Stegostoma tigrinum: one gene and its partners. The protein of the gene in region 1 purifies or fractionates together with the protein of each later gene. This does not show direct contact. Links are inferred from orthologs where the notes say so. Each region holds a gene or a part of one and is shown in the gene's direction. Other genes may lie near its edges.

Region 1 (9,969 bases):
CAAATAATACTTAGATGCTTTTCTCTCAACAGGAACATTCATTATTGAGTAGAATGGGTGACAAAACATTTCAGTAGTGAAATATCTCCTGTTACCTAAAAGAACAAGGTGGCTGAAGAAATCAAAAGTAAAGTTGTCAGTTATATTTTTGTTAGTTGATAATCGTAACATTTTTCGAATGCACATAGCTGAGTCATAAGAGATTTTTCTATCTTTTTCAAATTGAATGTGCACACAGATGGTGGTAAGGACAGGGCACTGATGATCACTTCATTATGATTACAAAACATACAGCAGCACCAAGATTCTGGTAGAGATGTTGGATCTCCAAGGTGAAGGCAGTAACAGAGGACAAAAATGACTGAGGTATGGTGTGCGTTTGGGTTGGAGGGAGCAATACTTTGAGACATTCTATGCATTTTTCTCCAATAGTATCAGTAAAAGGTGAATTAGGTTAGTTTAATAAATATGTCCACGAAGTAGTTTTGCATACATTGTAGTAAAACATTTTTTACTACAATTAGTAAGTGTGGCTGAAGCAGTGTCCCACACCAATATTTGAGGTTGACCAGAGACTTCAATCGGTCAACATTGCTTTAGAATGATACTTCACAGGAGGATCATCCTGTTCATTATGCCCAAGCAGTTTCTTTGAGAGCTATTAAGTTAGTCCCACATCCATGTCAATTTTTCCCCCTTCAAATATTTATCACAATGCTTTTGGATTACCCTTCAAGATTCAAGGGAATAATACAAATTTATGCAACCACTTAAGAAGATGGGGAGCAAATAAAATAATAATTTGTGTAAAAGAGTCAGGCTGATAAAGTTTGAATGTGTGAAACTAAGAATGAATTTATACATTATTATTGCTAATGTTTTAGGTTTTAAAAGAAATTTCAGCTATAAACCGTTGAAGTTTGGTTTCCTGATACGCAGCAAGGACACTACAAAATGCAGTGCAGGATACAATTGATATCCCAACAGAACACTAATACCCCATAACAACTCATCTTTCATTACATAAACAACACACAAGGGAATAATATTGGTCTTTAATCTTTCAACTTTAAAATGCAAATAATGCTGGCATATAAATTCAGATTTGATTCCAGGAATCAGCTCTAACAAATTCCACTCTATCATATTGCTTCTCCAATGACAATCTGGCTGTGCGCAGTAAACGAGTAACCTTAAGAGACATTTTTTACAATATCAGAAAGTTACAGCATCCAAGAGAGTCAGCTGACGGAAAGAAATAGCAGCCTGAAATATTAAACTGCATTAACCAATATCATTCAAATACAGACAGACTACATATATTTACAGTTCTCAGTTTTTAAGTGAGATTAAAACTTCGGCTCACAAACTTTAGTGCATCAGAAATATGTTCAGTATTGGTATACTGAGAGGAATATCTGTTTAACGTCTTGTCAACATGACAAGAGTGTATTATTATAGAAAATTTTGCATGCTAATAGACAGAAATACAAATCATATCATAACAAATCAATGACACACTTGGACATGCACCTGGGTCCTCTGCTAAACCCACCGAGATCCATGCAAAAGTCTACTGCTTAAATGGCAAGACAACTTCAAAAACTATTGCAGCAATTCGCGGAGGCTTCTTCAACAGCAATACCACATCTACATCATTTACAACCTAGGAGCAAACGTGACAGTCACACACAAAAAAAAATCACCCCCTTCAATTTTCCCTTAAAGTACGTACAATCTTTATTTGGAAACCTAACTGGTTGATGGACCAAATATTCTGGTAAAGCACCCACCCAAAACCCTACCCCTGAAGTCCATACACCTGTCATTGTAGGTGTTTCTACACCACATGGACTATAATAGTTCAAGAAGGAAGCCAGCACCATTTTACCCATGGCTATTGGGAAATGGGTAATTAATGCTGAACGTAGAGGGACGTCGACACCCCACGGAAAATTAACAAAAATTAAGTTCACTTACAGGGCCCTAGTTATTAAAAAGCATAGCGAAATCGAACGCAATATTTTTTAAAATTGAGCCTTGAAAATCATTACGGGAAAAAATAGGCGGAGATTAAATGGTGGGGTCGTACAGACAAAAATTCTAACTAACCCTTAAAAAGACAAACACTTCGAAGCTTCGTCATCTCATCTGAGGTTCGTAAATCCAACATAAAGCGTCATTTCAATATAAAACGAAGGAAGCCGTTTCTTCAACGGAGGCGGGGAAAGGATTAGCAGCGGTTTGGAGTTCTTGTACAAAACTCACATCATAAACAAAATAAAGAGATAGCATGAACTGCAAAGCTGGAATCAGAGTCAACACAGCGCGGAGCTGGTGGAATACAGCAGGTCAGGCAACATCAGAGAAACAGGAAAGTCGACGTTTCGGTCCAGGACCCTTCAGCAGAACTGGGCTCAACGATACAAAACAAATGTGGTCCCAAAACGGAAAGCGATTCCAACAGCAACAAAACAAAACGGTGCTCGCTTAGAGCACATCCAAAAGGATATATCCGATGACATAAATTACTATGGTTTGTCGCTAGTGGCGTCACGTTTTGTAAAAAGGGATCTTTTTAAAAGAAAAAAAAGCCGACTTAAAGTTAACATTGAAACCCAGGTTGGAAACATTGTAATTTGTCTCAACATGACTGTAAAGCAGCGCAGAGAATTAACATGAGCCAAATCACAAATCTGATGGAAGTGGATAGTGTTGTTCCGAAATTAGGAAAAAATACATTGGGAGGGGAAGAGAAAGATAACCAGGAGATGAATGACAAAAAGAAAAACACTTTAGTGTTGCCATTGAACTGGGAGTGGTTTTAAAAAAAAAGACATCCCAGAGGGACACTATGGATCCACTGCTCAGTGCTGACGGAAACACATGCAATCCGTGTTGTTTATTTTCTGGGATAGCCTTTTGGCCAGATCCTTTTGGGTTCCCGCAAAAGGCTTTTGCATCGCACCTAACAAAAAAAAGGGTGTGGGGGGGGAAGCAAAGATCTGGAATAAAACATGGAAGCACATCACAAATAAACATGTGGTTATTCGTGGGGTTGGGGGGTAAAATAAAGAGAATAACTGGGGTATTGTTAAAGAAGGCAAATGACTTCTGTATCCCACTTAAAAAAAGGGAAAAGTCCGGCATAAAATATTTAAAAACCATCGCAAACAAATACATTCCCAAGGTGTTGAAATAAAGAGAAAAAGGGGAAATCACTGGGGGGGGGGGGATTGAAGAATAAGGAGGGGTGATGTAGGGAGGGAAGGAGGGGTGATGTAGGGAGGGAAGGCAGGGAGATGTAGGGAGGGAAGGCAGGGAGAGCTGAAGGGTGAATGGGGATGACGGGTGGTGAACTAGTAAAGCAAGCGGCTGCTTTTGGACCATTTAATTACTCCCTCACATCCAGCTCCCTCTCTCTCCCTCGAGGGTCTCCCTCTCTCACCTTTCTGAGCGGAAAACGCCGCGTACCAAGACACGGAGACCACGCTGCACAAGACCACAGCCGTCAAAACAGTCCCATTTCGGAGCCTCATCTCACCGGGCAGGCATTGTTTAGCATTATTCTATTATCTAAAGCAAGCCTTCCATTTTTTTTTCCCCTCTCTCGGGGTTGTGTCACCAGGACCCGAGGCTCCCGCTCCTTCCAGCACCGCTTCGCTCGCACTACTTCCCCCACATACACACGCCGCGGATTGTATAGCGGCGTCGGGCGAGAACGCAATACGTCGGCCTCTCACTCCGCGAATGGATATCAGGTTCGCGGGGGCGGGGCGAGTAGGAGGCGGGGCTGTGTGTGGAAACGGGGTGGGTGTGTGGGGGAGGGGAGATTGAGTTAGAAGGTTTGGGGTGGGAAGGCGGGGCTTTGTGGATGGGAGAGTTAAGGGGAGAAATGTGCAGGGGAGGAGAAATGTGCAGGGGAGGAGGAGGGTGGGGTGATCCTGAGAAGGGGGCATGAGACAACAAGCTGAATGAGACGCCCGCATCAACGGACTGCGCAGAGCTAATGGGAACTGCAGATGCTGGAGATTCAAAGTGTGGTGCTGGATGAACACAGCAGATGAAGGGTCTAGGCCCGAAACGTCAGCTTTTGTGCTCCTAAGATGCTGCTTGGCCTGCCGTGTTCATCCCGCGCCACGCTTTGTTCTCAATGGACAGCGCATGCGCGTTTCCCACGGGCGCCGGCTACCCGAAAGGCGCGCGTGAGCTCCCCGCCCGCTGAGATGGAGGGAGGCGGAGCTGACGCGAGAGCGCACGCGCACCAGCGACGGCCCGCCTCTTTGAAATGTGTGCGAAGCAGCTGTCAGTCGGTGGGAGCGTCGATCACAATGTAAACAAAAACGATCTGGCCTTGAAATAAAACCCTCGTCGGTAAGCTTGAGGAGGCAGCTGGAAATCGACTGTCGCGTGGGGATGAGTGAAAATGGTTTTGTGAGAGTGTAAAATGATCTCCCCGGCATGTTGCTGAATTGACCACTTGGCCTTTGCAGTATCCATGGCAACCAAGGATGGCGACTGAGGGGAAGTGTTTCGTCTTTTGGTGTTAATTTCTTTTGCCTTGGAAATTAAAACGTTTTCTTCATTTTAAATAGCCATTTTGCCTCAAGTGGCACCATATTTGAAGAAAAGTGTGTATTTATACAGAGGAATTCAGGATTGCACGGTGCCCCAAATCGCTTTTACAACCGGTGAAGTATATTTTGTTGAAGTTTGGTGATCGATATGATGAAAGGGAACAGGGTAGTCCATTTATGCACAGCCGGATCCCATAAAATGAAATTCAGATGATCAAGGAGCAGGTTTTTTTTTCATTTGGTGGTGTTTGAAGAAGTGAAAGACAAAAAATCTCCAGATGCTGTACTCCAATGTAGACGAACAGGAGCCCGGAAGAACACAGCAAGCCAGGTAGCAACAGTAGGACATGTGAAGCCAACGTTTCAGGTATTACCCTTCTTCATGTGGTTAAATTGTGAAATGGTTCTTGCTTATTTTAAAAGAATGATAACTCTTAATTAAAGCAAACAAGCGCTTCGACACTTCAAATTAATGTTACATTTCAAAATCGCATTCCTTATAATTTTAACTATGGTTGGACATTATTGAAAATTAAATGCCTTTTTACTTCAGTTTTGAATCTTTTGTCTTTCATAATCCCACTACTCACAACTATTCCTCCCTGCTCTTGTTCTAGCCCTCTTGAAATGAATACCAGCATCACATTTATCTTCCTAAATGCCAACTGAATCTGTATGTCAACTTGAAGAGAATTCTGAACTAGGACTCCTAATTCCCTTTGTGCTTCAGATTTCTGAAACCTTTCCCCATTTAGAAAATAGTCCATGTCTTTACTCTTTCTACCAAAGTGCATAATCTCAGATTTTGCCATGTTATGTTCCATCTGCCACTTCTTCGTCTACTGTCTTAGATTGTCCAAGTCCTTCGGCAGCCTCCACTACTTCCTCAACATACCTATTCCTCTACCTGTCTTTGTGTCATCTGCAAACTTAGCAACATTGCCCTCAGTTCCTTTGTCCAGATCGTATAATATATAACGTGAATAGTTGTGGTCCTAACAATGACCCCTGCGGAATTCCACTAGTCACTGGCTGACATCCTGAAAAAGACCTCTTTATCCCTACTCTGCATACTGCCAGCCAGCCACCCAATCCTCTATCCATGCCAATACCTTGCCCCTTTCAGCCATGGGCACTTATAATATTTAACAGTCACCTGTGCGGTGCTTTGTCAAAGACTATCTGGAAATCCACATAAAACACATTCCCTGGCTCTCCCCGGTTTAACAAAGTATAATGGATGGAGATGATCTGATGTAAAGACAAGGATGGTGGAGGAACTCAGCAAGTCTGGCAATATTATTGAAGAGAGGAATGCAGTGAATGTTTCAAGTCCAATATGACTCCTCTTCAGAACTTGGATGACATAGAGGATCAGTCCATGATCATTACTGAATGGCAGAGCAGACTCAAAGAGCCTTCTGATTTCTATATTGTCTTTTTCTATGTCTCTAGTCATTTATGATCCCAGGGATAAAGGTCTTGTCATATGAGGAGTGGTTGAGGATTCTGGATCTATACTCAATGGAGTTCAGAAGGATGAGGAGTAATTTCATTGTAACCTAGAGAATACTGAGAAGCCTGAATAGGGTACACATGGAGAAGATACCTCCTCAAGTAGGAGGACTAGGACCCAAGGGCACAACCTCAGAGTGAAGGAATGAACACTTAGAACTGAAATGAGGAATTTCTTTAGCTAAAGGGTGGTGAATCTGTGGAACTCATTGTCGCAGAAGGCTGTGGAGGCCAAGTTATTGAGTGCATTTAAGACAGGTAGGCTCTTGATTAGTACGGAGATCAAAGATTAGTGGGAGAGGCAGGAGAATGAGGTTGAGAAACATATCAGACATGATCCAATGTTGGAACAGACTTGATGGGCCAAACTACCTAATTCTGATCCTATATCTTACAGTCTTTTGCTTTGGTTCAATTCGTGTCACCAGTTTTTGCAGACCATAAAATGTCGGAAAATTAAAGTTGAACATCTTACTTGAAAAGCAGGTTTGGGAGGCGGGATGTGGTGGCTCACAGGGAAGAAAGACTTGGCAAGTATACATCCGAGCATGATTTGCATTTTCTAATGAATGTGGTTGATTAAATCAACCAAGAAAACTGGAGAACCTATTGTTTGTTCAGAGTATTAATGTTCTTGGTGAGAACTAAATTAAGTACTGTAGTGTTTCAGAATGATCTATTTAGCAAGCTGTAAAATTAACCAGCGAGCAGAAAATGAGTTTATTAGCAATTAATTGTTATCTAGGTTTATTGTGAAGCATGAATAGACTCCAGTAGAGTGAGGAATCATATTTATAAGGACAATAACAAAGTTGCTGGAAAAGCTCAGCAAGTCTGGCAGCATTAGTGAAGGAAAAAAGAGTTAACGTTTCGGGTCCGGTGACCCTTCCTCAGAGCATGCTTACAAGTCCACTTGAAGGAGCACTCTCAGGTATGGCAAAGATTGTAGCACTGATTTCCAACTGAATCTGTGACTATGCAGAGGATACGATATTCAGTGCTCCAGTTCTGCTGATGGTTTAATTTGAAACTGTAAGAAATCGGAACAAGCTTAGGCATTTGGCCCATTGAGACTGCTCTGCCATTCAACAGGATCATGGCTGATCTGACCTTCCTCCTGGCCTTTTCCCATAACCCATGATTGAACTGATCAAGAATATATCCAACACAGCCTTAAACATATGTAAGGATTGATTCTTAACACTTTGAGGGAAGAAGTTCCTCCTCATTTCAGTCTTAAATTGGCATCCCTTTCTTCTGAGGCTATGCTTTCTAGTCCTAGACTTTTCCATGATGCTAAATATCCTCTCAGCGTTTATCATAGCAAGTCCCTTAAGAATCCTATGTTTCATTGAGATCACCTGTTATTTTTTTGAAAGTCCAGTGAGCAGAATCCGAACCAGTTTGCTTTTGATCATATAAGACAATCGCTGCATACCAGGAGTCAGAGATAATGGGAACTGCAGATGCTGGAGAATCCAAGATAACAAAGTGTGGGACTAAATGAACACAGCAGGCCAAGCAGCATCTTAGGAGCACAAGAGCTGACGTTTCGGGCCTGGACCCTTCATCAGAAAAACAAAAAATACCAGGATTCATCCTAGTTAACTTTCTTGCAACTGCCTGTAATGAAATGATATCTTTCCTTAAGTAAGGGGATGAAAACAACTCCCAGAGCTCCAGATGTGGTCTCAGCAGTATCTTGTAGAGGTGCAGTAAGACTTCAAACCCCTTGAAATTAGGACCAGCATTCCATTAGCCTTCCTGATTACTTGTTGCACCTGTTGCAGCTTTCTGTAGTTTCTCTCCATTTAAATAATTCTGTTTCTTTGTTCTCCCCTCCAAAATGAACAACTTCACATTTTCCCACATTATTCTCCATTTGGCAACTATTTGCCCACTTACTTAACTTATCAATAGCTCTCTGTAAACTGTTTGTATCTTCTTACAACCTGCCTTTCTGTCTTTTTTTAATGCCGTCTGCAAATTTGGCGTAGTGCATTTACTTCATTAACATATTTTGAAAGCATTTGTGGTTCCAGCACTGATCCCTGTGGAAGCCCACCGGTCACAGGTTATCAACCTGAAAAACAATTATGCCCATTCACTGTTACCTGCCCGTGAGGCAATTCTCTATGCATGCCCATATGCTATCCAATACTGTGGGGTCTTATGACTTAACCTTTTGTGAGGTACCTTGTCATCTGCCTTCTGGAAATCCAAATACAACACATCGGCAGTACCATGTAAATAATACATAATAGCCTGAGGATCCACTGTTGGATTTCTGGACTGTTGTGGTTGTCAATCTCAGCCTACATGACAGTAGACCAACTGTGACCTGTGTAATTTTTGCCATAGATAGGATTCTTTGCCATGTGTGTAAATTCACCCCATAGTCGTCTGTTCTTCAAAAAAAACTCATGTATTTGGTGCTTTTGATATAGTAACATTCTTGAGATGCTTCAGCAGAATGACTAATGAAGGGTATTCCTAAGTTTGTGGTGTAGACCACAGAAAGCATGGCCAACATAGTGTAGAAATTAAGATTGGGGATGCAAAAATCATCCTGAGATCAAATGTGGATGAAGATTGTAAACACATTGGCTTTGTTGCAGTGGTAGATGAAAAAATGGAAGGGTCAGGGGCATATACTTGGGAGACAGTGGAGATAAGTGCAGAAGCAGAAAGATGAGCCATTGAACATGATCGCCTCGCTATGATTAGATAATAGTGGAACCAGGAATAACTGAATAGACTACGGCTTTTTATTTCTGAAAAGCGAAGGCTAATGGGTGACCTGACAGAGGATTTCCAGATAACAAAGTGTGGAGCTGGATGAACACAGCAGGCCAAGCAGCATCTCAGGAGCACAAAAGCTGATGTTTCGGGCCTAGACCCTGCATCAGAGAGGGGGATGGGGAGAGGGTTCTGGAATAAATAGGGAGAGATGGGGAGGCAGACCGAAGATGGAGAGAAAAGAAGATAGGTGGTGAGGAGTGTATAGGTGGGGAGGTAGGGAGGGGATAGGTCAGTCCAGGGAAGATGGACAGGTCAAGGAGGTGGGATGAGGTTAGTAAGTAGGAGATGGAGGTGCGGCTTGAGGTGGGAGGAAGGGATGGGTGAGAGGAAGAACAGGTTAGGGAGGCAGAGACAGGCTGGTCTGGTTTTGGGATGCAGTGGGGGGAGGGGATGAGCTGGGCTGGTTTTGGGATGCGGTGGGGGAAGGGGAGATTTTGAAGCTGGTGAAGTCCACATTGATACCATTGGGCTGCAGGGTTCCCAAGCGGAATATGAGTTGCTGTTCCTGCAACCTTCGGGTGGCATCCTTGTGGCACTGCAGGAGGCCCATGATGGACATGTCGTCTGAGGAATGGGAGGGGGAGTTAAAATGGTTCGCGACTGGGAGGTGCAGTTGTTTATTGCGAACCGAGCGGAGGTGTTCTACAAAGCGGTCCCCAAGCTTCCGCTTGGTTTCCCCAATGTAGAGGAAGCCACACTGGGTACAATGGATACAGTATACCACATTGGCAGATGTGCAGGTGAACCTCTGCTTAATGTGGAAAGTCATCTTGGGGCCTGGAATGGGGGTGAGGGAGGAGGTGTGGGGGCAACTGTAGCACTTCCTGCGGTTGCAGGGGAAGGTGCCGGGTGTGGTGGGGTTGGAGGGCAGTGTGGAGCAAACAAGTGAGTCAGGGAGAGAGTGGTCTGTCCGGAAGGCAGACAAGGATGGGGATGGAAAAATGTCTTGGGTGGTGGGGTCGGATTGTATATGGCGGAAGTGGTTGGAGGATGATGCGTTGTATCCGGAGGTTGGTGGGGTGGTGTGTGAGAACGAGGGGGATCCTCTTAGGGCGGTTGTGGCGGGGGCGGGGTG
Region 2 (9,969 bases), on another chromosome or scaffold:
TCCTAAGGGTCCGGTCATTTACTGTATAATTTTCTCTTGCTTTTGACCTCCCAAGATGCTCCACCTCACTGAGCCAGGTTAAACTCCATCCGCCATTTCTGTGCCCAACTTTCCAATTTTTTTAATAGTCGTGGGATATGGTGTTGTTGGCTGGCTAGCATTGATTGCTTGTCCCTAGTCGCTCTTGAACTGAGTGACTTGCTCAGCCAGTTCAGAGGGCAGCTGAGAGTCAACCACACTGCTGTGGGTATGGAGTCACATGTAGGCAAGTACAAGGTGAGGATGGCTGATTTCCTTCCCTGAAGAACATTAGTGACGCAGATGGGTTTTTTTCCAACAATCGACAATGGTTTCATGGTTATCAGTAGATTGTTGATTCCAGACATATTGTTTTTTTTACTAAAATTCCACCATCTATTGTGGTGGGATTCAAACCATAATCTCCAGTACATTCACTGAATTTCTAGATTAATAGTCTAGCAATAATATCAATAGGCCATTGCCTTCCCCCAAATGGTGCATATCCTGCTATATCTTTTGATAACCTTCCACACGATCCAGATTTCCACCAATTTTTGTGTCATCTACAAATTTAATAATTAGACTAATTATATTTCATCCAAATCTATAGTACAAAAAGTATTGGTCACAGACCTCTAGTCAGAAGAACACTGCTCCATAACTACCCTTTACGTCCTATGGCCATGACAATTTATGAATGGATTCAATGGATGGAAGGCTGGTTTGTGTGATGGACTCGGATGTGTTCACAACTCTGGTCATTTCTTGTGGCCTTGGGCAGACCAGTTGCCATAGCAAGCTGTGATGCATCCATATAGGATGCTTTCTATTGTGCATCTATAAAAATTGGTAAGAGACATTGTGGACATGAGAATTTCCTTAGTCTTCTGAGGAAGTAGAGACGTTGGTGTGCTTTCTTGACTGTAGAATGGATCAGGACAGATTGTTGGTGATCATCACCCCTAGGGACTTGATGCTCTTGACCACCATCTCCACCTCAGTGCCACTGATACAGACAGGGGCATGTTCTCTACTCTGCTTCCTGAAGTCAATTACCAGCTCCTATATTTGGTTGACATTAACGGAGAGATTCTTGTCTTTACACTATGCCACTAGGCTCTCAATTTCTTTCCGGTACTCTGTCTCGTTGGTGTTTGAGATCCTACCTACTGTGATGTCATCAGCAACTTGTAAATGGAGTTAGAGCAGAACTTGGACACATGGCCATGAGTGTGTAAGGAGTACAGTAAGGGGCTGAGTATGTAGCCTTGTGGGTCACTGGCATTGAGGATTATCCTTACTGATTGCGGTCTATGGGTCAGGAAGTCAAGGATTGAGTTGTAGAAATGGGGAACAGAGCCCAAGTTCTTGGATTTTGAAGGTGAGTTTGATTAGAATAATGGTTTTGAAGGTAGAGGTATAGTCAATAAGTAGGAGTTTGATGTAGGTGTCCTTGTTATCCAGATGTTCCAGAAATGAGCATAGGACCAAAGAGACAGCAACTGCCGCGGAACAATTGTGACAATAAGAAATTTGTAGTGGATCAAGGCAATCTGGGAGGCTGAAGTTGATATGTGCCATGACTAACCTCTCAAAGCTCTTCATAATGATGGATGTCAGATTCATTGGGTGGTAGTCATTAAGGTACGCTGTCTGATTTTTCTTTTGCACCTGGATGATAGTGGTCTTCTTGAAGCAGGTGGGAAAATCAGATCAGTGAAAGGAGAGGTTACAGATGTCTGCAAGTACTCCCGCTAGCTGGTCTGCACAGGATCTGTGTGCGCAGATCCCTGTTTGCCTAAGTGTTTTACAAGACACCCAAGACTTATTGCTTCTTAATATTGACATCTCCAAGAATATCAATATATTCCTCCCTAATCTTATGTCTTACATGTCTTTCTCCTTGGTGAATATCAATGTAAAATACTCACTAAGGTCTCACCCAATTTCTCTGGCTCCATTTGTAAATTCCGTCCTTTGTGCTTGAGTGGAATAAATCTTTCCTTAGCTATCCTCTTCCTCTTAATATACATATAAAATGCCTTGGCGATTCTCCTCAATACTACTTGCCAAGAACATTTCATGGGTCCTCTCAATCCTCGCAATTCTTTAGGTTCTTTCCTGCTTCCTTTATATTCCTCAAGGGAATTGTCCAATTTCAGTTTCACAAAAGTTACATACTCTTTCTTCCTCTTCTTGAAAAATCTTTCATCATTTCTTGCCGTCATAGGGTTCCTGAATCTTACCATTCTTATCTTTCATCCTCATATGCTGATCCTATTCTCTGATCAACTAGTTCATAAAAGGGTCCCATACATCGGATGTGGATTTACTGTCAAAGAGCCACCCCCAAATCTAATTTCTCCAGCTTCTGCCTAATACTGTTGTAATTAGCCTTCTCACATTTTATTATGTTTATTTATTCACAATCTACTTTCATATTCTATATTTCTTCTCTACATCAAAGTCAAGTGATGGGGAGTAAATGACCTTGACAACTAGAATGAGAGGTCATAGTTTTAGGAGTAGCAGATTTATGACCAGAAGCAATAGGAACAGGAATAAGCTGTTCAGCCCCTTGAGCCTCCTCTGCTATTCAATCAGATCATGGCTGATCTGACATTCCTCACATCGGTTTCCTGCCTTTTCCCTGTAAACCCTACTGATCGAGAATCATAGGAACATAGGAATTAGGAGCAGGTGTAGGCAATTCAGCCCTTTGAGTCCACTCTGCCATTCATCATGATCATGGCTGTTTTTTCCTTGTCTCAACTCCATTCTCCTGCCTGCTCCCCATACACTTTATCCAACTTTCCATCAACATATCTATTTCCTTCTCAAGTCTATTGATTCTGCCTACACTCCATTCTGGGGCAATGAGTTCCACAGATTTGCAATCCTGGGAGAAGTAGTTTCTGCTCATCTCAGTTTTGAACCTACCTCCTCTCAGTTTATATCTATAAACTCTTGTTCGAGAATGCCCCACAGTGGGGATCATCTGTTCAACTTCCCTTTAGCATTTTATATCGTTCAAACAGATCCCTCTGATTCTTCTGAACTCCAGTAAGTACAAGCCCAAGCTGTACAAGTGCTGCTTGTATGACAGTCCATTCATCCATGGAATCAACCTGATGAATCTCTTCTGAGCTGCCTCTAGTGCACTACATTCCTTCATAAAGTAAGGAGACCAAAACTGGATATAACATTCAAGCTGAGGTCTCACCAAAGCCATATATAATTTTAACAGTACATTTTCAGTTCTTTAATCCAGTCCTTTTGCTATAAATGTCAGGATTCCATTTGCCTTTCTTAGTATATGCTGCATCTGCAGAGCCACTTTCTGCAATTCATGCACAAAAATGCCCACATCCCTCTGCACTGACACACTTTAAATGTGCTTCCCATTTAAATAATAATTTGGCCTTTTATTTTTCCTGCCAAAAATGGACAACCTCACACTTAATACACATTAAACCCCATCTACCAGATTCTGGCCCATTCTCCTAGCCTGTCAATATCCATCTATAAACTCTTTACCTCCTCGTCACAGGCTGCTTTCCCATGTATTTTAATGTTATCTGCGAGTTTTGCTATGTTACACTCTGTCCCTGCTGGCAGATCATTTATATAATAGTTGAGGACTGAGAGACCATTAGTTACAGTTTGCCATTTAGAGAAGGACTGATTTACCCCAAGCCTCTGATTTCAGTCAGTTAGCCAACTCTCTATCCAAGCCATTACTCTACCCTTAATTCCCTGGGTCAGTATTTTATGTGGAACCTTGTCAAACGCCTTCTGGAAGTCTATATATACACCACATCCACCAGATTCCCATGACTCGCCTTGCTGATTTGATTTCCCAGCAAGTTTGTCAAGCGTGGCTTGCCCTCATGAAATGATGCTGACATTGGTGAATTCAGGTTTGTTTCTCCAAGTGTTCAGTTCTCTCTTCCTTTATGATTGGCTCTGGTAACTTCTCCACTACAGAGATCAAGCTAACTGGTTATTACGATGTGGAGGTACTGGAGTTGGACTATGGTGTACAAAGTCATAAGTCACAGGGCACCAGGTTATAGGCCAACAGGGTTTATTTGAAAGTACAAGCTTTTGGAGTGCAGCTCCTTTGTCAAATGAAGTTGCTTAGTAAATTCACCTGGTGCTGTATGATTTATAACTGGTCATTGTACAACATTCAGCACCATTCCTGACTTCTCAGGTACTGAAGCAGTCCATGTCAAAACGCAAGCAAGGTCTTAGCAAGAACGAACTTGTATCTCACTGCTGACATTCCCTTTAGCTTAGTCACGAAATCATGTCAAACAAGGAGGTGGCCAATGGACTCTTGCTCACTATGGTCAGGTTCAACTGCCACATGGAAGGGAATGAACTTCCAGACAAATGGAAAGGTTCTTTAGCGGAGCCATCAACCAACTCCTAAGTTAGACCACGATGTCGTCAAGCCAAACTTCTGAATCTATATTTATTTTAAATAGACAACCTAAACAGCCAGCCTTCCCCTTCCTCGTTGGCTCGAACCTGGCCATTGATTGGTCAACACAACCATCACTCATCCCTTTCCCATCAGGCGGCGCCAGCCGTTAAATTCACATTTAGTCCCGCCTCCGGCTCGCCGTCATTACTCCAAATATAGATTGGCCAATTAATCCATCAATCACTGTCATTGTCCGTTCTTTACTGGTTAACCAATCCATCAATTAAACCGGTGACGATCTGTCCGGTCTTCAAACTCCCGGTACTTTCCGACCGTGGATTGGTTCGTCTGTCCATCAATGAATTGAAGGGCGTTCAAGCATCGTGTCCGCTGCCTCGGTTGGTCCAATGTCTCCCAGACACAAACGGTTTTCATTGGCCCAGTGGTCACAAATACCGATAGTCGATTGGTTAATATTTCAATCAACCAGCAGTCCGCGCGCGTGGGGATGACGTAAGGTTCGGCGCTCCAATTTGGACCTGCCCCACCCACTGTATTCCAATTGGTCCTTGGGGCCAAATGTCGATTGTCTATTGGTGAACGGGGCCGTCAGTCAATCGGTTGGAGGCGGGGTGGCTGGTGCCGTCAGGTTTGGTTGAAGGGGACTGGTTGTGGGCCATTACCCTTGGCAAGATGGCGGTGTTTGCCGGTTTTGGTGACTGTGACCAAGTCTGTTTTCGTGTATATTGCGGTTAGAAGCCTCTTAGCTGTCCATACGCTTTGACGTGGAGTAGACTGGTTTGGTGTGTTTGGTGCTCGAATTGACTTGGCAAGAAGTGCTTTTCCTGAGCGCTTCTCCTGCTCCGCTCCCATTATATTTTTCTCTCTGCCTAATAAAATGGCAACCATGGAGAAATTGATGAAGGCCTTCGAGTCACTAAAGTCATTCCAGCAGGGACCGTCCAGTGAGGAGCCGGGGCAGAAACCGTGAGTAAAACGATCCTGGTGAGAGAGGGCTGGGGATGGTTTGTAGGGGAGCTGCTGGTGAATCCCGCTGACATTCAAGTACTTACAGAGATCTACAAACAGCAAAACGCGTGCGCGCAAGGATTAAATAACTAACGCAAAATTTCACTGTGGGATGGATTCCAATGTACAAAAATCGCACCCTGACGTCTGGTGTGCATTGGCATTTCATGGTGTCCTTCTGTACACTGGCGTGTCAGAGTGTGATTATGTACCAAAACATGCCGTGGAACCCATAGAATTCCTCCAGGGTGAAAGGAGGCTATTTGTCCCCTTGAAACCGCACTGACCCATTGAAGAGCATCCCACCTAGAACCACCACCCCCCCGCCCCACCTCTACCCGGGCCCTGACGTCCTAGTGTACAAAAAAATGTGCTGGCACGCCAATATGTAAAATCGTATACTGATGTACCAATGTACAAAAACACATGCTGGTGTGCAAGCTTATAGCTTGCCATGCTGATGTAGAACAGTACTGATACACCCATGTATAATAAGTGAACACTGACTGTCTGACATACAAACCAGGTGTGTTGACATTGGTACCCAAGTGGCTGGAAATAAATGATAGACAACTTGTATACAATTACACTTGTGCACAAATCAGATATAGTTCCAGGCTAAGAAATCTGGGAGATGATCATTAGTCACTCCTTTTTATTGTCTTATTTCTGTATATATTGAAATGACTCCTGTTGCAGTGGTGCATGTGAGATGTTTCTGCTTTGCTGGATGGTTAGAGATGGGAAGGAATAACAAAAATAAACTGCAAATCTACAAGTGTGAAACAATACTGTAAGCACTTGCTGTGCCAATCAGCATGTGGGGCAAAAACAAATGAGGTAATGTTTGCTGAAGATCCTACACCTAAAGTGCTACTGTTTTTGATCTCCATATGCTGACTGACTTGCTGAATGTTCCTAGTTTTTGTTGTTACTTTCTAGTTTTCAACTTGTACAGTGTGTGTAAGTTATGGATGTATATCAGTTTCTTGTTTTCCCTGGGAATATATCAATATTTGTTGTAGAGGCAGACAATGATGTTGAAATGGCTTTGGATTTATTGGGCAATGCTGAGTTTTTGTTTACAATGACGTGAAAACTCAGGTTGTGGAACGTGGAGTGGTGGAAGGGATATCAATACGTGATGTTTCCTTGGTCTTTATCCATACACAACAGCATTGTTGTCATACTTCTCATAGAAACTCAGCAGGGAGATGGGGAAAGAATATTTTAACTGCCAGGATTTCCACTTGCCCAGCATGTTCAGTCACTTTTTGTGAATCCAGCTCTGTAGCACTTTTTGCACTTGGTGCAATTCTGAAGAGAGATATTGCATTTTGCTGTGCATGAATGAGTGAAGATAATGATAAAATTAGTGGAAGTTGGGTGGGGCAGGTAACATAAAAAGTGAAATTGACAAAACTAAGTGGAAGGTACATCGCCTGGTGAGCATGTTATCTTTTTATGTTTTTGATAAAGATCTGCATTTGATACTGGACCTTGGTGAAATCCTTGGATTTCTGTGCATTGACACTGAAATACTTGCTGATTGATCTGTGTAATATGAGACTCCAGGCCTTGTGTGCCTCTTTGCGATTTTTAAGATGCAGTCGAGCTATAACTATGATTGATTGTTTATTTCCACTTCTGCATTATTTAAAATGCAGACATCTTCCAAGGTAAATATTTTTCTGGAAGTGTAATTTCTGCTTTTGGAAGCGGAACTCAATGAATGTGCTGCAGTTCTAGAAAGTCAAGGATACCTGTTTGTATAGCATATTGGCAAATGGATGATATCCACGAGGACAGTGCCTCCTTGAAATACAAGACATCAAGTTCAGGTAATCCTGTGAGAAATATGTTGAATTGCCACCATTATCTCATGTCCAATATTTATTACAAACAGTATATTTTCTTGCTTAATTGGGAAATCACGAAACTAACAAGGGTTCTTTTGGGAAGTAAAGCTGCTATCTCTACTTGTACTGACCTACATGTGACTCAAGACCAACAGCAATGTTGTTGACTCCTAGCTGTCTTCTGAAATGACTTATTAAGTTAGTCACTTCAAAAACAGTTATGGATGGGCAGCAATTGCTGGGATCGTCAGCATTGCTCATATTTCTGGAAAGGATCAAAAGATATTGCTTTATTGCAAATTGGACTTTATTCTTTGCATATAACCACTGATGTTTGCCAGTGGTTGTTAAGCAGGTGACTGCGTGGGTTTGTTGTAACCTTAAAGATGTTAATGGTGTCTGACAAGAGCCTGGGCGTTCTCTATTGATCACTTTGCCATAGCAGAGTTTATATCTTTTTATATGGATGTTTATTTGCAAATCAGTAATAGGATTGAAAGATCCTTTGTAGCTTGGGCTGGAGGAAAGGCAAATTCTTGTAATCTCTAAATAGTCTCTCCGTGATTTTATATTCTTTTGTTGTCTGTGGTGGTGGAGATGACTTTTCACTTGTAAATTCTGATCAATCTTGGAGTCAGGAGCAAAGGGGAGCCAAAATGCTAAGTCAAACAGTTCTTGAATTGACTTTTAGCCAAGAATTTTCCTTTGAGTAGTTGTGTGGAGTGCTGAGTGGCAAAAAGGCATTCATAAACTCAAATCATCAAGCCTGTTCCATCAAAAATTCCTCCACCTGATGGTAACTCCCACCTCTGCACTATCTCGTGCCGCCTTATTGTGCACTTTATGGTTGCCTTTAGAAAATAAGGATGGAATTAATTTAATCACCTTTTAATATAGTTAATAAATTGTTACTCGGGCATAAACAGTGAAAACCCTGCTTACTTCACTGTAATGCAAAGTACCTTTACTGCTATCAACGGTACTTGCCATTTATACCCCTGGCCCTAATTGCTAGCTTAGTAATATGGTTTTCTGCACTTTTTATTCATAATGTCAGAAAAATGATTTGACAGTTAATGAATTGGCCTCGTGCAGTTTTTGAAACTAAGTGATAAAGTTGCAATTAAAAAATGTGAATTAATATGGAAAATGTAATTTTTACCTGCCCAGATAAATTGTTCAGAGATAGCATAGGAAATAATTGTAAACCTTTCCAGTTTTTGAATTTTGAAATTTGTTTTTTAATTTGTGGTGAGTGGTAAGTGAAAGCCTTCGGTAACTTGTCGTTCAGTTTAAACTGCCTGGGGAAAAGAAAGGCTAAATGTTTTTTTTTATTAATTGGAAGTATTGTTGACTTGTTGGTGCCCTCAGAAGTGGTCCAGCAGATCTCTCAGGTTTACCTGGGATGGGCAATAAATGTGACACTGTCAGTAGTACTCAAATATAAAACAAAAAGTTGAATTATTTCAAAGTAAGGCATGGTGCATTGCCAGTGGGTTTAGATAACCAGTGAGTTGTAACCCAGATGACCGAGTGACTGACTAGTTTGCAATCTGAGTGGTGCCAACAGTTCAGGTGCAGTACCTGTATTGCTGAAGTGTGGTGACCCTCAGGTTAAACCACCAGCTTTAATGAGAGAGCAGTAGTATGGTAAGCTGGGACTAAGATGACTACTTTATTATGAAAAGTAACACAGATGGACATGGTGCTTCCAAACAGTGAGAGATTGTTCCCTCAGCTCTGACTCAGCAATTTTGCAGCAGCCAGTCATAGAGTCATACAGCACAGAAATGGACCCTTCGGTCCAACTTGTCTGTGCCGACCAGGTTTTCCAAACTAAACTAGTCTCAGTTGCCTGAGCTTAGCATACATCTCTTTAAACCTCTCCTATTCATATACCTGTTCAAATATCTTTTAAATGTTGTAACTGAACTTGCCTCTATGAACGAATGAGAGGATTTGAATATAGGAATAGCAAGTCTTGTTGCAGTTATGGCTTGGTGAGGCCACACCTTGAGCGTCGTGCAGTTTTGGTCTCCTAGTCTGCGGAAGAACAAGCAAATGGGACCAGTTCAGTTCGGGAAAACCTGGTTGGCGCAGACAAGTTAGACCAAAGGGTCCATTTCCATGCTGTATGACTGGCTGCTGCAATGTTGCTGAGGAAGTAGATTTTTGCTATTGAAGGAGTGCAGTGAAAGTTCACCAGACTCTTTCCTGGGATGGCAGGACTGAGGCATGAAGAAAGACTGGATCAATTGGATTTGTACTCACTGAAATTTAAAAGAATCGGTGGGGATTTCTTAGAAACGTGTAAAATCCTGATAGGCCTGGACGGGCTATATGTGTGAAGAATGTTCCTGATGTTGGGGAAATTTAGATCTCGGTGTCACAGTCTAGGAATAAGGCATAAGCCATTTAGAACTGAGATGAAGAAGAATGTTTTCACTGAGTTGTGAACCCTGTGGAATTCTCTACCACAGAAAGCTGTTGGGGCCAGTTCATTAGAAATGTTCAAGAAGAAGCTGAATGTGGCCCTTGTGGCTAAATGGAATAAGGGGTATGGAGAGAAAGCAGGAGTGGGATTCTGAAATTGTAAAATCAACCTTGATCATATTGAAAGGTGGTGGC
Region 3 (9,969 bases), on another chromosome or scaffold:
TAAAATGCCACAAGGTTTGGAAAAGAGGCAAAAGAGAATGTCAACAAGTCATCTGCCCCAAAAGTCATGCTGGAAGCAGTTTTGAGTGATGACAGAAAATTCAGCATGCCCACCATTTGGGTGAACAGCATTAATTTGTAAAACACCTCTCGCTCAGACAGATCAATTGGATTATTACAGGAGTACAATGCATGAGTTTCTTACACTGCAACACTTCAAAGGGCTTCATTTTTTCTAAGGTGTTCTGGAGTATCATAAGATCATGAAACATATTCTGTAATGCAACTCTTTTATACATAGTCACATAATTGCTACAGACCAAATCAGATTACTAAAAGATGACAAACTCTAAGTATACCAATGGAATAGACAGGAATAGAGCCAAACTCATTTTGTTATATGTAAACATAATTAAATTTATGACAGCAATAAATTGCTGTGGGACTGACTGTTAGTTGAATGATGCCTTTTCACCTCCGCAAACAAGATTCAAATCTAGCCCGGACAGCTAAGCAAAACTATCATCATTACCAAGGGTCTAACGAAGGTTGAAATTCAAGCAGTCCTATCCAGTTTGCAGTGGGCAAAGAAGGAAAAGACATTGTTGAGCCTTCTAGGATTGACTGTTATAGATTGGAGCATGTCTGACAGCAGAACACACCAGATTCCCCAAGGGGTCCTCACTCAGGCATCATACTCATCATGTGCTTTTGTATGCAGCCAATATTTCTTTTAGGCAGCCACTCTGAATGCCTGAGAAATAGCCTGACGATCTTGGCTTGGACATTTTTTTTAGGTATCCTCAGTGCACAGTATATTGATCCCTGAAATTCTGCTTTGTCACAACCTAAATTGGACAGTGATATAGATTTTATAAAATTACCTTATCTATTATGGGACTCAAGTATCTTTCATTATATTTAGAATTAAAATAGCTAATCTATATAATAGTTTTTAAAAAGTTGTATATTTTTGCCAAATTTCTTGATGTTTGAGAGTTTGCCTTCTGATTAAGGCACGGGGAGATGTAGGTTCTTCACACAAAGAGTGGTGGGCATGTGGAATGCACTGCCAACATTGGTAGTGGAATTAGATACATTAGGGACATTCAAGAGACTCTTCAATAGGCACATGGATGATAGTGAAATGTAGGGTAGGCAGGGCAGTTTGATCTTAGAGTAGGATAATAAGTCGGCACAACATCATGGGCCGAAGGGCCTGTACTGTGCTCTATCATTCCATGCTCTAATGAGACAGTGAGATTTGGGATTAATGCCAATAAAGTTGGACATGCTGTTGTAATGGGCAAAAGCTCATGTAGACTGATTTGAAGTTTAGAAAATGCAAAATTGCACATTGTGATGAATACTGTACAATTTATGTACATTAATATTGTTACCCTCATTGGGGTGGCTTACTGGAAATGAAGCTTTGCTATTCCTAGAGTTGTCACAAAAGCTAGAGTTTTAAAAATATGCTGAATTCCCCAACTAACTAACTTTCAGATCCACATTCACACAAAGCATGGACCAAGTTCATGTACTTGACAAAAATAACTAATTATTGAATTAAATAGGCTCTAGCTAGAGGCAAGTAATTATGAACCTATGGCATACATCTCTAGTAGTTTACGTTTAATTGACTTATAAATCATCCCTCTACCCCTTTTACCCCTCTCTTTCTCTCACACGAACACACACACAGGAAAATAGTGGAAGTTATACAGAGAAGGAAAACTGGGAAAGCAGTTCAGTGGTTCTTTGATCACATGGTCTACTAAGATGGTTCTGACGCTGATCAGAATGCTGCTTCTTTGTCTTCCTTCTCCTGATGCTTTCAATGGTTTTCAAGGGGCATACGTTGGCTGACTTCCATGAAAAAGGTCTCTGATTATTAATGAAAAGTCATAGGTTATAGCAACTGCTCAAGGAAAAAATAAATTGGTTTTCTTGAGTCTTAAAGCAGTGTTTATTGCAGAGAACAGAAAGCTCTTAGGCTGGTGAAGGACTGATGGCTTCTCACTACCTTATTCACAGCCCTAAGCTATTCAACTACCTGACAGGCATATTTGTTAGCTGGCAGGGGCTCTTGTCATCAATAACTGATCACTAGTCCATAGGCTAGTGAGCTACATGTTGCCAACTGAATCTATATTTGTACACACCCCTTGGCTTCAGCTCGTCTACAAACTATACTTCATATTACCGCTTGAACTAGCAGTGAGAGAAAATATTAAGCCATTAGCTTATCAGAATGTAGGATGGATAATTTACTTTTAATGTTGTTGAATGTTTTTAAAATCAGTTCGAATGAAAACAGACTAAAATCAGATGCAAATATAATGTTTCCTGGAAATTGCTCTAAAGAGTAAAGGGAATAAATTAACTCTAGGGAACAATTTGTTAAACTATACTATGAAATAGGATTTTGTTTTGCTATGTGTTCAATTCTGCCCAAATGGTGTTATATTTTGATAAGTTTTGAATTGTTTTGTTCCTGTGCTTTATTAAAAAATTTCGATTTTATTGTTAAAACCAAATCTACAGCCATGTGTCCTTACCTTTTAGTGAGAGATCATTGTTAAACATGATCTATCAAGTCACAGCTTATTGTGCAATCTGATCTATCCAGTATTAACATCAGTTGTGACCAGTACAATGATTTTTACAACCACTAGCTACAATTTACAGAAATAGGTGCCATAATTGAAGTTATTCGGATTACCATGTCACTGTCAAAGCCTGTCATTTCTTTGTTGTTGTGCAAGTGGTAAATGGAATTTAATTGTGACAAGTATGAGGTGGTGAACTTTGGGAGGACTACTAAAGTTAGGGAGTATACATTGAATGGTACAACGTTAGAAAATACAGAAAAATCAGAGGAACTTTGGTACTGTGTCCATAGATCCTTGAGGCAGCAAGACTGGTAGATAAGGTTGTTAAGGCAGCATATGGACACACCTTTATTAGTCAAGACAATCGATACAAAAGCATGGAGGTTATGATGGAACTGCATGCAACATTAGTTAGGTCGCAGCCGAAGTACTATATGCAGTTCTGGTTGCAAATCTGTAAGAAAGATATGGTTGCACTGCAGAGCATGTTGCCTTGGCTGGAGTATTTCATCTAAGAACGGAGCCTAGATAGGACAAGGTTATCTACCTTGCAGCAGAAAACGCCGATGGAGGAGAACCTAACTGAGGTATACAAAGTTAAGAGTGGCATGGAAAGGGAGAAACTTTCCCTCTTTGTACAGGGATCAACAATTAGGGTGCACATTTTTAAAGTTAGGTGCACAAGGTTTAGGGGACATTTTCTGCAACGCATGGGCTAAAAGGTGGTAAAAGCAGAAACCTCTAGACACTTCATCACTGGCCGTTCTTCGCAAACAAGGATTATTCTCTTCCAGTTTGTAGGTGGCTGAAGATATTTAAGAAATATTTAAGATAACAAAGTGTGGAGCTGGATGAACACAGCAGGCAAAGCAGCATCTCAGGAGCACAAAAGCTGACGTTTTGGGCCTAGACCCTTCATCAGAGAGCCTCTCTGATGAAGGGTCTAGGCCCGAAACGTCAGCTTTTGTGCTCCTGAGATGCTGCTTGGCCTGCTGTGTTCATCCAGTTCCACACTTTGTTATCTTGGATTCTCCAGCATTTGCAGTTCCCATTATCACGAAGAAATATTTCAAAGAGCACTTGAAGCACGATAGACAGAAGACTATTGGCCAGTGCTGGAAAATACAATTAGAATAGTTGTGTGATGACTGATACGATGGGCCAAACACGTTTTTCCATCCTGCGTCAATTCTATGAATGATCATTGATGCCCTTCTGCCCGTAGATGACGAAGTTGAAGTCGCCATAGTCCCACTACAGACTAATTGTGAGTTTAACCTGATGGCCACTATGACACGAATAACGTTTAAACATCTTCAACAGCAATCTCACCCAGTGCGAGAAATGAGCCAGTATTTAAAAGCACACGCCGGTTTCCCCACCCCCCATCATTCGAGCCGTCAAAATGCGAGTGCGCATGTGTACAATAGACAACTTCGGTCTTCGGAGTCCCCTCATCGATCACGTGGGAGCGGTGCTGGCAGTCGCACCCCGAGCGTGGAGGGCGATGCGCGCGTGCGCAGCATCCGCCCCAGCGTCACTACCCGCCCAGCCGCCGTAAGCCCTCCTCGTTTCATCTCACGGGCTGGAGAGTATGCGGGGGTCCGACGGAAGGGGGCGCTATCGGCCACCCTCGGCTGGGGCTGTGGGGTGGGGAATCCGCGCGTGCGCAGCGGTCTGCCCCTCGGAGAGTCGCAGTGAGCGGCGGCTAGCGGAGGGGGCGCTCGTTGGTCGCTGTTGCTGGGTTGCTGGTGGACCCCGGTGCCTGGGAGGAGGGAGCGGAGCCGGCGATGTTTCCCAGTGTCACTCTCAGGGCTCTTCAGTTCAGCCTCGGGTGAAAATGGCCACCAGAAGAAAGAACGGCAGCGACACAACCCTCCCGACTGCTCTGACATCCCTTTGCGCCGTCGGTTTGCGGGACTTCACAGGATAAAACACCAGTATTGAGAGAAAAGGAGGAGGGTAAGGGGGGACGGCGAGGAAAAAAAAAGCACCAACCTTCATCTCTCCTTCGTCCGCTCGGGACATTTATTTTTCCTGGTGAGTTGAATCTTTTTGGAAAAAAGGAACAATCTCGTCTTCTTCAAGCAGCCGTGAATTGGAAATGGCAGGGGTAGGGATCCTAGTATCCCGGAAAGCCTGGCCGTGTGAAGCTGGGCTCCTATTTATCCAGCTTCATTTATTTTCCCTTTTCCCCTCCTATTAGATTCCAGGCTGTTTCCGGCAGGGCGGGTTTCCGGTTGCGGGGTTTTAAAAGGAGCCGACATTCGGGTCGCCAACGGCACCCTCAACCCCTCCAGACAGCCCGTCCGTCACCGCGGGCGGGGGATGGAAAGAGGGAAAGACGGCAAGACGGCCGCATCCCTAACACCACCACCACCACCACCACCACCACCTCAGTCTCGTCCCCCCCAGCTCCCCCTCCACCTGGCTCTGGCTTTAGGCCGCTCTCATTTCTCGCTCTCCCACTGGAAACAATCCCAAATTATTGTTAAAAAGACATCTCAACGTAAACATGAACGATTTCCTCGCGGGGGTTTCGGCGATTACAGAAAAGCTGCTTTATTTTCGGGCAGGAGACATCTGTACTAACTTCATGCAATATTGATTTGATGAAATCTCGGCTTCACACCGTTCTGCTGGATCCGTTGCATCCTTAGCAACAAGGTTTTAATCATTACGTTTAAAATGTACCCGCAATTTGCTTAATGTGTTTTTTCCCTTTAATTTCAACATTACTTGAAGTATCGTGCATTGGAGGGAACTGTATGAACTTGGATTACTTACTCTCCAGAGTATTTATCGTACCATTGGTGCCAACGTGTGAAACTGCAGTTGTTGGCTTTTCGAGATCTGAGTCAATGAGCCAATTCAAAGGTTTAACTGCTAGAAAGCAGGCCTTGTTACCCCTCGAGTAACAAATACTGCTGCTCACCATAATAGAATGGTTCATTTAAGGAAGACTAATTATTCAAGAAGTATCTTTTCTGTTATTTACAGTCAATTGAAAATCGGTCGGTAATTTGTAATGTATTGGCAGATTTGTGGGATTAGTTCTGAAAATATCAATAAACATAGTATGCTGCAGGCCTATTCAAACTGTTGTAATCAAATCTTGATTTGACTCTCGTGGACCAAATGGGAGCTCAATAGCCCTTCACTTACCTTGGTTATAAACTTTGTCTTCCCCACTTTTTTATTACTGTAACACAGTCTTGCTGGCACCTTTACTTTTATTCAGTAAGAATTCTTATTCCCTTATGGAGGGCAATGGCACTGTCAATAATGATATCAAAGGACAACAACTGAATTCAATGTTGGATAAAACACACAATTTTGGGAAAAAAATTATCCTGTTGAACTGCTTTTAATCTTTTGTGTGACCTGATAGTTGGATTTCACTGCATGTTTGAAGCTGTAAACCTGAAATGACTAACTTAACAAATATGAGGTTCTCTCTCCTGTTATGATATCCAACAGTCATTGTTTACAAATGCAAATTACCTGGAGGGCATTCCAAGTTATAACTTTTATAATTTTTACAATTACCTGATTGAACCCTGACTGATGACAGTCTACAACCTAGGAATAACTTTTTTGAAAACTTTAATAGGAGGCTAACCTACCTAAGGACTTGGAATTTTTGCAAGCAATCTAGTAATCCCCATTACCAGCTAACCGCGTTCTTCGGGCTCAGGAGTGTAAAGAGTCATTGTTCTGCCTTTCTTGGGAGGAGCTTAAATATCACAGGTAGATCTTAAGTGAGAAATGTTGAATGTTGACAGTAAAAGACAGCGCTGTGTCCAAATAGCTTTTCTGATGGAAGGGTCTAGGCCCAAAACGTCAGCTTTTGTGCTCCTAAGATGCTCCTTGGTCTACTGTGTTCATCCAGCTGCACACTTTATCACTGTGTCCAAATAAACAGTTAAAGCCCCAGTTGTACCATGAAAATAGTCAACTCTATCAGAAATGTTGACAGTGAATTTTTCAAAATTGCACATTTCCCCTTTAGCATTTTTTAATGTCTGTTAATTCCGTGTTTCAGACAACATTTATATCAATTGATATAAATGTTATTTGAGACTTGTGGTAATTTGCTCGATGTTATAATCTTCAGATAGTGTTACCTAGGTGCTGACTGCCACAATGATATATCATTGTTTATTAGGCTTTTAAGTGTTTGGAGAAACATTAGATCTGAGGTTCACATCACTTTTAAACTGACAAGACTCCCCCTTGAAGCCTCAAGGCACGCAAGAGTGCTTTACAACTTGGTAATGCATACCTTCTTCAGAAAGTTGATTATGACAATTTTCTGGAAACTTGTTCTTCTTGGTAGTGTGGCCTGTCAGAAAATGCTAATATTGAGTACCCTAAAGTTTCACAACCAGATAGTGATCAAGTCAGTTAAGAGCTGAAGGGGCTCGGTTAGACATCAAAGTAATGGGGGGGCATGTATGAGCTGGGAAAAAAGATTCCTATCTATTCGCTTGTTGGAAATTATTTTGTCAGTAAGAAATTCTTTGGCAATTATTACTTCCAAAAGTGGTCTGGAAATATATTTAAACATGGAAATAAAATATGACTGATTATGCTTTGTGAAATATTGAGTAAAGGGAATGACTATGGAGGCCATTTTATAAAAAAGACTGTGCTCTCTGCAATTTTCTCCTTGGTCTGGTTGAGGTATTATGTCTTGTGTAGCTATTCAAATGTCACCTCGATAAATGTCAATGAATTATTTGACAAAGTGAACCTGCAACTACCTTGAATGAAATCTGATAAAGAAACATTGAATTTTGGATGTTCTAAGTTTATACAATGGACTACTCACTGCATAAACTCTGAAATAATAGGAGGAAACAAATTGAAACTAATATGGCATACTAATGATTTCCTAGTATCAGTCATTTAATTTTAAAAGGGGTTTGGTAGGTTTAGTCCTGTCTAAATGAATAGTGTTTGGAAAACTTTGTTCTGACATCTACTTTTTGTTTTGTTTTAATACCACTGGACCAAGAAGTTGATCATTATATTTTACTTTGACTCATTAGTTTTGTCTTAAACTGAATACAATTTTCATATAGTTGTTGTTGCAGTTGGGTTGTGCTAGAATGATTCATCTTGCCTCCTGATTAGTTAATATGAAACATCTGGAGTAATTTAAGATGTCTTCGGGTGGTGTTTTATAGATTTTCTTAGAAGAACAAACCAGATGGGCTGAATAACTTCCCTAACAGGCTTTCCCAGCTGTTAGTTTACCTCTGAACTACTTCACTGACTGTGCCATGTTGTCTTTTAAGTTTGCTCCCAAAAATCTGTTTTTCTGTCAGTTTTTAAGGTCTTAAAAACTATTTCTAACCAACTTTCTAATGGGCTTTCCTAATACTTCTGTTTTTGACTGTGTGTCATTGTTAATGTTCGTGCTTTTCTAAATATACATCCACATTAAAGATGATGCATAAATCATTAATGGTGCTAGAACTGACCTATGACTTACAGTTTTAAATGTTATTACTGTATATCTGTTTAGATAAATGTTATGGTCAGCATAATGTGGAGTGAGGAAAATTCAGCAGCAACCTCTTAGATCTGGTGAATTGGCCATTGTTGTGTTCAGCACAAATTACATCAAGATGCCGCATCATAGATGTTTATTTTTGGCAATTTTCTGCTGATGTGCTGGGAGCTGTGCATATTTCCAATTTTCTTACGAGAAATTTAGTTCAGATGGGATTTTTGTTATTTAGGAGCACTTCCTCCTTGTGTTTAGAAGTGGATTATTTTATTTTGTATTTCCATTAATATTGCTTTGAAATTGGCAACAAATTCCACATTTAATATTTGTTAACAACATGCTTAAAGAGGTGGGGGTGTGGTCTCTAGAGATTGAGAATTTTTAAAAAAAAGGTAGCATCCATTGGTGTTTCTATAGATAGCACTACTTTCAATTTCAACACGAGCAGAAACTCGGTTATTCTAGGTGGAGCCAGTCATGTTTGTCTGCCAGGGAATGAGTGGTGACACCTGCTAAAATAAATTGGCAGATCCATTTTGTGTTCACTAGTGTGCACAAATATTTCCCCAGCCAAGTATGAGCAATTGTTTTTCTTTTCTAGCTGCTGTAAAATGGGATGTGTACTATAAGTATGACAGTCTGCTCTGAGGTATTGCTTCAGAGGTGTTCCAAAGACTTTTAAAATACATAACAGTAAGACCAGGCTGAGATAAGCTTCCTCTTGTGGGCAAATATATTTAAACCATTTGACATTATTCTGGGGTAGTATTAATTTGAACTTGGTTTGAATAATTGTTTCTATTGTTTTTCTTTCTCCTGTTTGAGCTAAAACCCAAAATACCCTAATAACATAAATTGCTGAGGAGAAACTCAGCAGGTCTGGCGGCATCAGTGAAGAAAGAAGCAGTTAACATTTTAGGATCCAGTGACCCTTAGGAGTTTTTGTTATTTTAAATCTACATCTGCAGTTTTAGCTCTGAAGGGCCACTGGTCTTTGAACATTGACTCTTGTTTCTCTCTCCAGAGATGTTTCTGTTTGTTTCTGATTTCCAGCATTTGCAGTTCTTAAATGCTAGAGCAATTCAAGGCCCTGAAAGTTTATTTCCCTTTAGTGCCCATCCAAATTCCTCTTGAAATCATCATCTCATCGTCAGTGATAGCACTTGTGTAGATAAGTTTTTCCTCACATTCCCCTCCTTGCATCTGCAGCTCAAAATGCTAAATCTTTCTCCCCTTTGTCTTTGTACCATCAGCAACTGGGACTGCTTCTTAGACTTGTCACCTCAACTAAATTTTCCCCTTAACCTCCTTTTCTCCAAGGAGAACATCTTCAACTTCTGACCTAATCTTTCTTTTATTCTTTCACGGGACGTGAGTGTCACTGGCTGGGCCAATATTCATTGCTCCTTGAGAAGTTGTTGACAATCTGTTTCTTGAACCAGTGCAGTCCTTGTACTGTCGATAGACAAAATGCTTTTAGGGAGGGAATTGCAGGATTTTGACCCATGGATACTGAAGGAAGGGTGAGATATGTCCAAGTTAGGATGGTGAGTGGCTTCGAGGGGAACTTGCAGGTGGTGCTCCTATGTATCAGCTGCCCTTCCCCTTCTAGATGGACGTGGGTCATGGGTTTAGAAGGTGCTGTTTAAGAAGTCTTATTGCATTTCTGTAGTGCATCTTGTAGATAGTAAACACTGCTACTACTGAGTGGCATCAATGGAGGGAGTGGATGCTTGTGCATATGGTACCAAATCCAGTGGGCTGTTTTGTTCCTGGATTGTGTAAAGCCTTGAGGGTTGTTGGAGCTGCACTCATCCAGGAAAGTGGGGAGTATTCC

Evidence for each region.
Region 2: the proteins of sqstm1 (region 1) and htt purify together in Homo sapiens (affinity purification with western blotting; 4 studies listed by BioGRID and IntAct, with this or other methods). This does not show direct contact. The link is inferred for Stegostoma tigrinum from reciprocal best matches to the Homo sapiens genes SQSTM1 and HTT.
Region 3: the proteins of sqstm1 (region 1) and wdfy3 purify together in Homo sapiens (affinity purification with western blotting; 4 studies listed by BioGRID and IntAct, with this or other methods). This does not show direct contact. The link is inferred for Stegostoma tigrinum from reciprocal best matches to the Homo sapiens genes SQSTM1 and WDFY3.

The regions. Positions count from the first base shown.
Region 1 is NC_081366.1:11,449,456-11,459,424, forward strand, and holds the start of sqstm1 (sequestosome-1), read left to right. Parts: upstream 1-4,256; 5' UTR 4,257-4,944; intron 4,945-9,969. Other genes in the region: mgat4b (alpha-1,3-mannosyl-glycoprotein 4-beta-N-acetylglucosaminyltransferase B), read right to left, coding at 3,449-3,539. UniProt on the Homo sapiens protein: Molecular adapter required for selective macroautophagy (aggrephagy) by acting as a bridge between polyubiquitinated proteins and autophagosomes.
Region 2 is NC_081356.1:129,591,449-129,601,417, reverse strand, and holds the start of htt (huntingtin), read left to right. Parts: upstream 1-5,120; 5' UTR 5,121-5,351; coding exon 5,352-5,440; intron 5,441-9,969.
Region 3 is NC_081354.1:74,047,153-74,057,121, reverse strand, and holds the start of wdfy3 (WD repeat and FYVE domain-containing protein 3), read left to right. Parts: upstream 1-4,325; 5' UTR 4,326-4,654; exon of another isoform or gene 4,655-4,989; intron 4,990-9,969. UniProt on the Homo sapiens protein: Required for selective macroautophagy (aggrephagy). Acts as an adapter protein by linking specific proteins destined for degradation to the core autophagic machinery members, such as the ATG5-ATG12-ATG16L E3-like ligase, SQSTM1 and LC3.